Linked DNA regions of Xenopus tropicalis. The protein of the gene in region 3 purifies or fractionates together with the protein of the main gene of each other region. This does not show direct contact. Links are inferred from orthologs where the notes say so. Each region holds a gene or a part of one and is shown on either strand. Other genes may lie near its edges.

What was found.
Region 1: the proteins of dnajb6 (region 3) and mlf2 purify together in Homo sapiens (affinity purification with mass spectrometry; 3 studies listed by BioGRID and IntAct, with this or other methods). This does not show direct contact. The link is inferred for Xenopus tropicalis from reciprocal best matches to the Homo sapiens genes DNAJB6 and MLF2.
Region 2: the proteins of dnajb6 (region 3) and stub1 purify together in Homo sapiens (affinity purification with mass spectrometry; 4 studies listed by BioGRID and IntAct, with this or other methods). This does not show direct contact. The link is inferred for Xenopus tropicalis from reciprocal best matches to the Homo sapiens genes DNAJB6 and STUB1.

Annotation. Positions count from the first base shown.
Region 1 is NC_030683.2:9,834,345-9,838,002, reverse strand, and holds part of mlf2 (myeloid leukemia factor 2), read right to left. Parts: intron 3,513-3,658; 5' UTR 3,463-3,512; coding exon 3,410-3,462; intron 3,333-3,409; coding exon 3,200-3,332; intron 1,950-3,199; coding exon 1,914-1,949; intron 1-1,913.
Region 2 is NC_030685.2:14,823,212-14,826,346, reverse strand, and holds part of stub1 (E3 ubiquitin-protein ligase CHIP), read right to left. Parts: intron 1,585-3,135; coding exon 1,419-1,584; intron 1,264-1,418; coding exon 1,173-1,263; intron 1-1,172. UniProt on the Homo sapiens protein: E3 ubiquitin-protein ligase which targets misfolded chaperone substrates towards proteasomal degradation.
Region 3 is NC_030682.2:17,675,287-17,679,044, reverse strand, and holds the start of dnajb6 (dnaJ homolog subfamily B member 6), read right to left. Parts: upstream 2,598-3,758; 5' UTR 2,585-2,597; coding exon 2,520-2,584; intron 2,100-2,519; coding exon 1,990-2,099; intron 808-1,989; coding exon 751-807; intron 389-750; coding exon 278-388; intron 153-277; coding exon 21-152; intron 1-20. UniProt on the Homo sapiens protein: Has a stimulatory effect on the ATPase activity of HSP70 in a dose-dependent and time-dependent manner and hence acts as a co-chaperone of HSP70. Plays an indispensable role in the organization of KRT8/KRT18 filaments.

The DNA.
Region 1 (3,658 bases), on a different chromosome or scaffold from region 3:
TATGTACCAATTCCCCAGCCCGAGTTCATCTGAAAGCAGACTCAAACATTCCGTACCACATAAAATATCCATTTCCCACATCTATGAAACAAAGAGACGGTGCCGTAACCCCGAGAGCACAGCGAATGCCTGAGTTGCTATAGAGTTAAAGGCATGACTCACGGGTCACACTGACCTACATACTATAGTACACACAAATCATGCCACCACATCAAGAGAAAAAATCTAAACATTTCTTTACATGATTTATCTTTTTTGTCTAATCTATAACAGGCCGCAATATTTCCCTACCTACATGGCTGTTAGCAGTATTAGCATTTCCTTTACAGGCGGATGTGTGTCATGTTTCCCCCCCAGTCTAATAGAGCTTGGACTCCAATTGGGGAAAACAATACTATTCTTGCAAGATAATGCCCCCCGGGGCCACTGTGCAACCTACGTAGGGAGCTCCGGCTGTAGGCGGCCATGTTGGTGCCAATGCATGTGTATAATGAGCACAAACATATGACAAAAATAGTATTATCTTCCCCCAGTGGATTGTGGGATCTATTAGACCACACCTCCAGGGGGGACACATGTTTTCTATAAAACATAGCCTCATTTACCAAAAGCCTTTTGGTAAAGAGATTCATTTTTATCGAGGAGGTTTAGATAATTGCTTCATAATTGATTAATGAACTCCATCAACCCACATAACACAAATGTATTACTGGTCTGAATGCCTGCGCTTCTGGTTGTTCTGTTCATTAAAAGGGCAAATTACGCACCCTTATGTAAAAAATGTACCTAAACACTATTGAAACTGTCTGTTTTACAGACAGACATAGTTACTCAGACTGAGAGGAAACCATGATAAAGGAGATTAGTCGGCCTCTGACTCCTACAGACCCTTTCCCCGTCACCATGCAGACTGGCAGAGTCTTTCAACCTGTCCCTAATCTTGTTCCTGGTTAGAGAGATGGTATATTTTCCCTTTAATGTACAGTACATCCGAGAGGTATATTTTCCCTTCAATGTACAGTACATCCGAGAGGTATATTTTCCCTTCAATGTACAGTACATCCGAGAGGTATATTTTCCCTTCAATGTACAGTACATCCGAGAGGTATATTTTCCCTTTAATGTACAGTACATCCGAGAGGTATATTTTCCCTTCAATGTACAGCACATCCGAGAGGTATATTTTCCCTTCAATGTACAGCACATCCGAGAGGTATATTTTCCCTTCAATGTACAGTACATCCGAGAGGTATATTTTCCCTTTAATGTACAGTACATCCGAGAGGTATATTTTCCCTTCAATGTACAGCACATCCGAGAGGTATATTTTCCCTTCAATGTACAGCACATCCGAGAGGTATATTTTCCCTTTAATGTACAGCACATCCGAGAGGTATATTTTCCCTTTAATGTACAGTACATCCGAGAGGTATATTTTCCCTTTAATGTACAGTACATCCGAGAGGTATATTTTCCCTTTAATGTACAGTACATCCGAGAGGTATATTTTCCCTTTAATGTACAGTACATCCGAGAGGTATATTTTCCCTTTAATGTACAGTACATCCGAGAGGTATATTTTCCCTTTAATGTACAGTACATCCGAGAGGTATATTTTCCCTTTAATGTACAGTACATCCGAGAGGTATATTTTCCCTTTAATGTACAGTACATCCGAGAGGTATATTTTCCCTTTAATGTACAGTACATCTGAGAGGTATATTTTCCCTTTAATGTACAGTACATCCGAGAGGTATATTTTCCCTTTAATGTACAGTACATCCGAGAGGTATATTTTCCCTTCAATGTACAGTACATCTGAGAGGTATACTTTCCCTTTAATGTACAGTACATCTGAGAGGTATATTTTCCCTTTAATGTACAGTACACGTGCTTGCTACTGTTGCACTCACCATTCCCATCATGCCATAAGGGGTAACCGCACCTTGCTGGTAAGGGCCACGATGACGGCAGCACCGAGAGGGAACATGGAAAGGAAAGGAAGTCATTGTGAGATAGAAAATCCAGTACAACAAGGAACACAGGGAAACAAGCAAACTCTCAGCACAGTGAGCCAAAGATTATTGTGCCACACTCACCGTACAGTTACGTGCCAGTATTTGGTTAAAGGGGAACTACACAGAAACCCCTAATATCCCTATCCCTGTAATCTGTTCCTTCAAACAGTAGGAATAAATACCATTTATATGCTGAAATCCAGCTGCAAAACAGTTCTTCTCTTTCTGTATCATTTGAAATCCTGGCAGGGGAGGAGGGACTAAAACATTGATGTTACAAACTGTAACAACTTCTCCACAGCTTACAGACAGCATGCAGGAACGGAATAACCCACAATGCATTGCACTGGGATGTTCCTTTCCTATTAATAAAGGGGTGGCTCATCTTCAGGTTAACCTTTAGTATGTTAATTGGTCTTCATTTTTTAGTTTGTATAGTTTTTTTAAAAAAAAATTATTTGCCGCCTTCTTCTGACTCTTTCAAATAGGAGGGGGGGGGGGGTCACTGACCCCAGCAGCAAAAAACTATTGCTGAGAGGCCACAGTTTTATTGTTATTTTTCCTTTTTAGTACGTATCTTTTTATCTAAGCCCTCCTCTATTCATATTCCTGTCTCTCTTTCAAATCACTGCCTGGTTGCTAGGTTAAATGGGACCCTAGAGGTGATTTGGGTGAGGAACCCTGGAAAATCAGTGTTTATGGAGCACGTCCCCCAATTACTATTTTCTTTGTTCCTATGTTTTAAAGTTGGAGAAATAAAGTGTAAGGGGGCTTACACACAGTTATAGGGGGTATACTTATCATGCTGTGTAAAAAGTGTAGCATTACCAGTGATGTTGCCCATGGCAACAACCATTCAAGCAATAAAAAACAATTAGAAAACCAAAGCAAAGCATCTGATTGGCTGCTATGAGCAACATCATCGGTAATGTTTTACTCCATATGTAATTTGCCCAAATGGTTTAATTCAACTGTAACTCCCAGCCATTGTATTTGCACAATGACACTGAGGTTGAGCAGAATGTGCCAGGCAGGTACAGGATACAATGGCAGCCATTTGCTTCTGTTGTTCAGTTGCACAGACTCAGCACATACAGAACATGTGACTGGCAGCGACCTATAGAGTGCAGTTGTTCCCAGAGGTAAGCAGCATGGCTGAGACATAAAGGGGGGACTCTGACCTGTATTGTGCGCGAGGGGGCGGGCCGGGGAAGCCCCCTGACACTGCCGTCGGTGAGGCTCAGGAAGGGGGACACGCCGTAGTCCCCGGAGAACATGTGGCGCATGTGCTGGCGATGCAGAGCGAACGGGTCCCTGTAAGAGAGGAACAGTGTGAGACTCTGGGTGGCACTTGCACACAAGGCTGGCAGTCGTATTGGCCGCACACTCACATGAGGAACATGGCCGGGTCTTGTGGCTCGGTGTCTCTCATAAAGTGAAACATGACGCCCAATCAGAACGTCGATCCTTTGTCACTCGAAGCGTCTCTATTGGCTGAACAGATAATAATAAATAAATGCACAAGTGTAACTGTAACACTGTCTGTTATTCCTCTAAGCACTGACGCCTCTGCCCTTAGCCCAACCCACGCGTCTCCAGCAGTGTCTCGGCCCACACAGCCTCCTGCAGTCTCTCGGCCC
Region 2 (3,135 bases), on a different chromosome or scaffold from region 3:
CAGCTGCTACAGGGGCACTGGCTGATAGGGTAACTCACCTGCCACTCAGAGCACAGATCACAGCTGTACAACATGACAAGGCCTCAGCTGATACAACCAATAAACCAGCATCCCTTATATATATTAAGCGGGGTGTTTTGGCATGGAACTTGGCTCTGATGGGCACAACCCTAAATATGGCCAACGGTATGGGAGTTCTAAGCAACTTTATAACTGGTCTTCGTTATTTATTTGTTATAGTTTTTTAATCATTTGCCTTTTTCTCCAAAATCTTTGCAGTTTTTACATGGGGGTCACTGACCCCAGCAGCCCAAAAACTACTGCTCTGTGAGGCTCCAGTTTTATTGTTACTTTTTGTAACTTTCTCTTCTATTCAGGCCCTCTGATATCCAAACCACTCCCTGGTTGCTAAGGTAACTTGAACCCTAGCATCCAAATAGCTGTTGAAACTCCAAGCTGGAGAGCTCCAGGACTGAAAAGAAAATAACTAAAAAACTACAAATATTAAGAAATGAAGACCAATCTCAGAATATCATTCTACATCATACTAAAAGTTAACTCAAAGCTGAACAACCCCTTTAAAGCTGACATAAACCGAATAGGATTGTTTAGTCACCAATATGGATTCATACAGCTTAGTTACCATCAAGTAAAAGGGACTGTCTTATTGAGCACAGTGGCACCCCTCTCCAACATGGTTTCCCTTTAGGTACTGAGACAGTGGAAAAGCAGTATATAAAGGTGGCCATATACAAGTAGATTTAAGCTTCTGATTGGAGTGATTTAGACTGATTCAAAACCTTATCTGCCCATGTATGGGGCCCCCTGATGGACCTTCGGGGACCGCATCGACTCATTGACGGCTCATTGTAATTTGGTCCTAAGGCCAAATGATCAAATTATCCCGATGTTGCCCACCTGAAATGGGCATATCAGGAGAAGATCTGCTCGTTTGGTGACCTTGTGTATTGTAGGTAATGTAGGTGGGCAACATCGGGATAATTTGACCTTATGAACTCTGCCTACACAATCAAATATCTCTGCCACAACCCTTACAAGCAGGAATATCCATGGAAATTTCCATCCTGCGTTAGATAACCCAGCCTAGCAAGAAAGACAATAATGGTGCAAGAAACCCCAGAACACTATGCCCCCATAAGACTCCTACTCACATGTTTGGAAGCCACACTAGACAACAGGGCTCGACTTCTACTCTCCTCTACACTATCCTCTTGGTGTTTTCGCTTTGCTTCTTCAAGTTCTCTGTAAACGAAGGATAAAATAAAAATATTAGCTGAGGCCGAGCTGTGGCGGAGACGTGATCCATAGACATGTTCAAAGAACCCAACATAAAAGCTCATTCCCATCCCATACAAGTATCTTATGGCCGAGGCTGAAGGCCAAATGGCCACCCCCACCTCTCTTTCTCGGCCAGGATGAGTTTGGTGAGATAGGAGTGCAGCTCATTCTCCTGGTTGATTCGTCTCTCTTCTATGCTGTTCCAACGTTTCTTCTTGGCGATTCTCAGGGCACTGGGGATATCATCTCCGAAGTTCAGCCTCTGCTCCTTGGCCAGGTTATAGGCTGCAGGGGAAGGAAGGAAATACCAGTTAAAGATTTGTAATGTGGAAACTGGCTGTTGGTTTAGGTTGTGCAATACAAAGGAACACAGGTAAAGGTACATTGCTAAAATAATCCATAAAGAGGGACTATGTTCAACGCTCTCTGTGTTTATACAGAGAAAGATACACAAAAGCCCCAGTAACACTGCTGCCAATATGACACTATGCTACGGACTTAACGCTTGCTCATTTGTAGCCCAGTCACTGAATGCCTCCCCCTTGGTAGCTAATTCAATCAAAAATTCATTTTTAATTTCTATAGTAACCATAAAGAGGTAGGGCTGCTTAAAAGGTACCAGGGGGCCCTGGGCAAAATTTCACTGGTGGGCCCCCACTGCCCCAAGCAATTTGTGATAGAATAACCCTCAAGCACGTAAAGTTTGATATAGTAAAGCAGGCAGTAAAGAAATGGTCTGGTTTGACTGAAGACATGGCTTTCCACCTTTGCCAGGTTATAAACCCAGAAAAAGGGGTGTTTGTGATGATGTCACCACACAAACCGCTGATGTCATCACCTATCTAACCCAGACAGGTGGCAACCCTTGATCCACTGGTGTGCTGCCCTCGACCAACAGCCCTGGGTGATGCCAAAGGAAAAATGGAAAGAAATTACAATAACCCTACTATAGAGCTCTTCAAGTTAATGAGGGGTCAGCCATCTTTGCTCAATGCTTCTGCCAAAAGTTTGCCCCTTGGCAAATGCCCCTTTTGCCCATTTATTAAAAGGGCCCTGTAAAGAGGTATCCACCCTGTGTTGAATTCATGGGAATAAGGGGGGGTCACTGCCGGCACTCAACTCTGCCACGGTCAAGTCAATAGGTCTGTTTAAAGCTAAGCTGACTCTTATAACCCCCGCCATCTATACTATAAAATTATCTGTCAGCCATACGTAACAAACATGCACAAATAAATACATATTTCTAAGGGGACGTGAATCCCCATAACCACAAGATTATTAGCCCTGCCTGGCACACTATACAGTAATACATATGAGACAGGGGTCATTTACAGCTTCTAAATAAAGCTGATTTTTCCCTAGCTGCATTAATCAATAATACACACATATGTACACTCAGTTTATTCTCTACCCAAACACAACTTGAGCTTTTTGAAAAGTAAACATAATTTCAAGCAACTTTGCAATATACATCAATTAAAAATATGCAGCCTTTTCATAATTTGTAATGTAATAATATGGTTTGTAACAGTTCCCTAAGCCCCGCCCCCTGCTGATCTGACTACTTTGAGGCTCAAATAAAATGTATCAGTAGTCGCCTGTCCTGTCAGTCTGCATCCTCCATATCCCACAATTCCCTGTACATATGATGCCATTAAGGAAAGGAACATCACAGTGCAATGCATTATGGGTTATATAGTTCCTGCATGCTGTCTGTAAGCTGTGGAGAAGTTGTTACAATTTGTAACATCAATGTTTTAGTCCCTCCTCCCCTGCCAGGATTTCAAATGATGCAGAAAGAGAAGAACTGCTTTGCAGCTGGATTTCAGCATATAA
Region 3 (3,758 bases):
GGAGTATTGCATCTCTGTACCCGAGTCAAATGGAGAGAAGGTAGGACCAAAGGCAGGGAAACCTCCAAACGTAGAGAGAAAGGAACCCCCTGGCCTGCTTCTGTTTGCTCTGTGGCCTCTTCTGCCAAAGAAGTCATCAAATGGATCGTCAGCTGGAAGAGAAACAGGATATAAATTACTCCCTGACACCAGTAATATAATAATACCTGTAACATTACAATCCTTAACCCGGCAGAAACATCTAAGATTAAAGAAAATACAAATATGTGCACTATACCAAATAAATCAAATGAAAATGGGTCTCTTCCCCCAAAGAAATCCCTGAAAACATCGTCTGGGCTTCGGAATGTAAATCCAAACTCATATGGATTATCAAAGTGACTGCCGCCTAAAATAAAAATAAGAAAGAACCTAATTAGCTTGAAAGATAGAAAAACGGCATTAGTTGTTCTTAATATAAAAGGTAATCAAATACAATTAAGGTTGCACATAGTACAGGGATATAGAAGCATGGAATATTGTGGTCTCAAGGAATTTCTGTGGCAATCTGATAGAACTCTTCGCACTGTGTAATTAGGCTTGGACTGCAAGAAAAGGCTGCACACTGTAGCTGGGTCTCAAGTGGCAATTAAATAGAGCACATTAGGGTCTCTAGCCAACTAGACGGCCCTGAAATGGATCTAAGTTGCATGGAAGCATAAATGAGGTATAAATATAGCGTTAAAAGTTTAAAATGAAACTAGCACTTACCTCCACCACCTGTCAATCCTTCTTTTCCATATTTATCATAAATATCCCTCTTTTTAGCTATAAGGGAAAGAAACAAACAAATATAAATAAATAAAATACAAGCCGTTTAGTCTAAGTGGAGTTAGCAAATCATTTCAGGATACAATTTCACACAGTCTCTCTCTGAGGCAGAACATTGTTGTGATGTATTTGTGTGTCTCCCCAGCAGCTGGGGACAGACACGGCTATAAATAAGCAATGCATTCCAACACACGAGGGCCAGGCTCAAAAGTGCCTCGCCGCGTCCCACCAGCCTCAACCAAACAAAACAACAGATCAGTCTAACCTGCTTACTGGACTAAGACAAAGCAGGAAGTGGTGTACTTCTCCTTTAAATAGGCTGCAAAAGCCGCTCTGACACTTTCTCCAAGCAGTATGACGGCTTAGCTACTAACATGACGTTTGTTATCTAAGTTTTATACCAGTGGCCAGCACCTTATTATGAGTGTAATACCCACAACAATATAGAAAACAAATTAACAAAGGATCCTTCAATAATCTACTTTTACCGTAAACCCCTTTTCAGCAGAAAGGGCATAATGACCATTTTTTTTAAAGAAGAAATGTAGGATAAGTGAAATCCCCCCTCAATCTTTTAGGCAATTATGAATAATATATGGTGCTTAATTCTATCTGTGGCCCCTTTATTGGAGCTCCTTATAGATCCTCTCAGGTCCCTGCCGGTGTTTCAAATAAAAGGTGGGTGTGTCCTAATCGTCCCTGGAGGAAGCACAGCCAACCACAGCCCTGCAGTCACACAAGCAAAGGCAGGGTTTAATTCTGGTTCCTATCCTACAATGCAGTGTGCCGAGTGCCGCCGGCCCCCCTGCACAGCCTGGGAAAGGAGGCAGCAGGGAGTGGAACAGATGGGCGGGACTAGTGGGGTTTTTGGAGAAATTTTCAATAAATCCACCTGAAACACAACTTTTTAAAGTACATTCCTTCTGTATTTAGAGGAGCATAATGCACTACCACATTCTTGTTTTTTACACAATATGTCTCCTTTAAATTCATTAGCTCAGTCAGTGATTAGTATGCTTAAGCCAAGCCTAATTATAAATATTGATAGGATCTATCACTCGTGTCAGCTGAATAACGATCATGCCATATATGAAAACAAACTCCTTGGGCAAATCGGGCGCCTAGTAAGGAAACAATTACAAGCCAAGGAAGTTGGAAGAGTCTTGGGAAGATACTTACAATCTGACAGGACCTCATAAGCTTCAGCAACTTCTTTGAACCTCCTCTCGGCTTCATCTTTATTGTCGGGGTTCTTGTCTGGGTGCCACTTTAAGGCTAGCTTGCGGTATCTGGAATACAAGTTGATTGAGAATAGGGTTTAGTAATTGGTATTGAAATGCAACATTAAATGCAACTTTCAAACTGCAAATAAGGTTCCGCCACACAGGGTGTTCCATATCTTTCCTCTAATTAATCCTTTCCCAGCCATGTTCTCTCATGCCTTTTATGTGCCTCCTCATCATCGTCATCATCATCAATCCCTCCTGAGTGGAAACCCCCATCAGCCTGTGTATGGAGCTGTCACACAATGGCCCAGTCATATCCTCAGCGTCAATTTAGAGAAATGGAGGGCACTCCTGGCTAAAATATCCTTGCCAAAAAAAATTTTATATACAAAAAAAACAAAGTATAAAGTATCCAGGTGCTATGGTTTTAATAATCCCCCCATAAGAGTGGATATCCTCAGCGTCAAACCAGGGAATACTTACGCTTTCTTAATATCTTCTGGAGAGGCGTTCCTCTGGACTCCCAGGACATCGTAATACTCCACCATGGCTCAGTAATGTGATGTAAAGCCTGGAAAGAATTCATAATGGCATTGAGATGACAAATTCAAATGCAAGCGGAATATGATAAGAGGTAGGTAAATCAATTAGAGAGTCAGGAACACATTGCAAAGATAAAGGTACTATTAATGCAAGAGTATCACAACATTTCCATTTTTTATTATTCTGTTGAACCCAAGCCTAAGGCCAGTGGCACATGTATCGCTGAAATATGCCAGTCAAAAATGGCCAGATACATCTCTGTGCCACCTGTTATGTAGATGAATGGAAACGGTTTGTCCCCAGCAGTGACAGGTAGTTTCCATTCATCTAAATGGCATGACGTTTCTCCACCAGATAAAATACTTTGGCTAATACTTTCTAAAACTCGCCAAGCAAGCATATCTTCTCCCGATATCCCCACCTATGGGTGGGCAATATTGGGCCAATTTGGTCGTTTGGCCCTGGGGCCAATCGATCAAATTAGAACGGCAGGTATAGGCGCCATCGGATTGGGGACAGCATCAACGAGCTGATGCTGTCCCTGATCCAACGGAAAAATCAAACCTGCCCAAGCGAGATCTGCCCGATTTCAGGGCAGATATCGTTGGGGCAGGCCCATCGTTTGTGTCCACACATGGGCAGATAAGCTGCCGAACTGGTCTAAAGGGCCAATATTAAAGAAAGCAAAAAGTATCTCCACACTCAAAACCAATAAGTAAAAAATGAAATTTATTCAATACGAAAAACACATCATAGCAAGTATAGTCAAACGCATTTCAACCCATCAAGGGTCTTCATCAGGGGTAAAAATTTTAAAAAGATATTGGCAGCTAGAATCGGCCCGTGTATGGCCACCTTAAGTGTCCAAAGCTTACAAATGTTAACCTGAAAATCTGTTAACTGTTACTAGTTATCTTGTTTACCCTTTTAATTTGGCTCCCTAGGAGAGCCTCTCAGTCAAAGCACTGGAATATTACACCAGGTGCTAAATCGCAGGGAGCACAATGGAGGAGCAGTGGGCAGAGGGGCAGCCTGAGACATAATTATGGTGAGATTTAGGCTAATTGCCCATTAATTGTTCTGGACAGCCCAAGACATAGAACTAGTAAGCAAACTTGATTACGCTGTCAATTGTCATGACAATTTACAGAATGGAAATTTGGAAACAAAAATTGAATA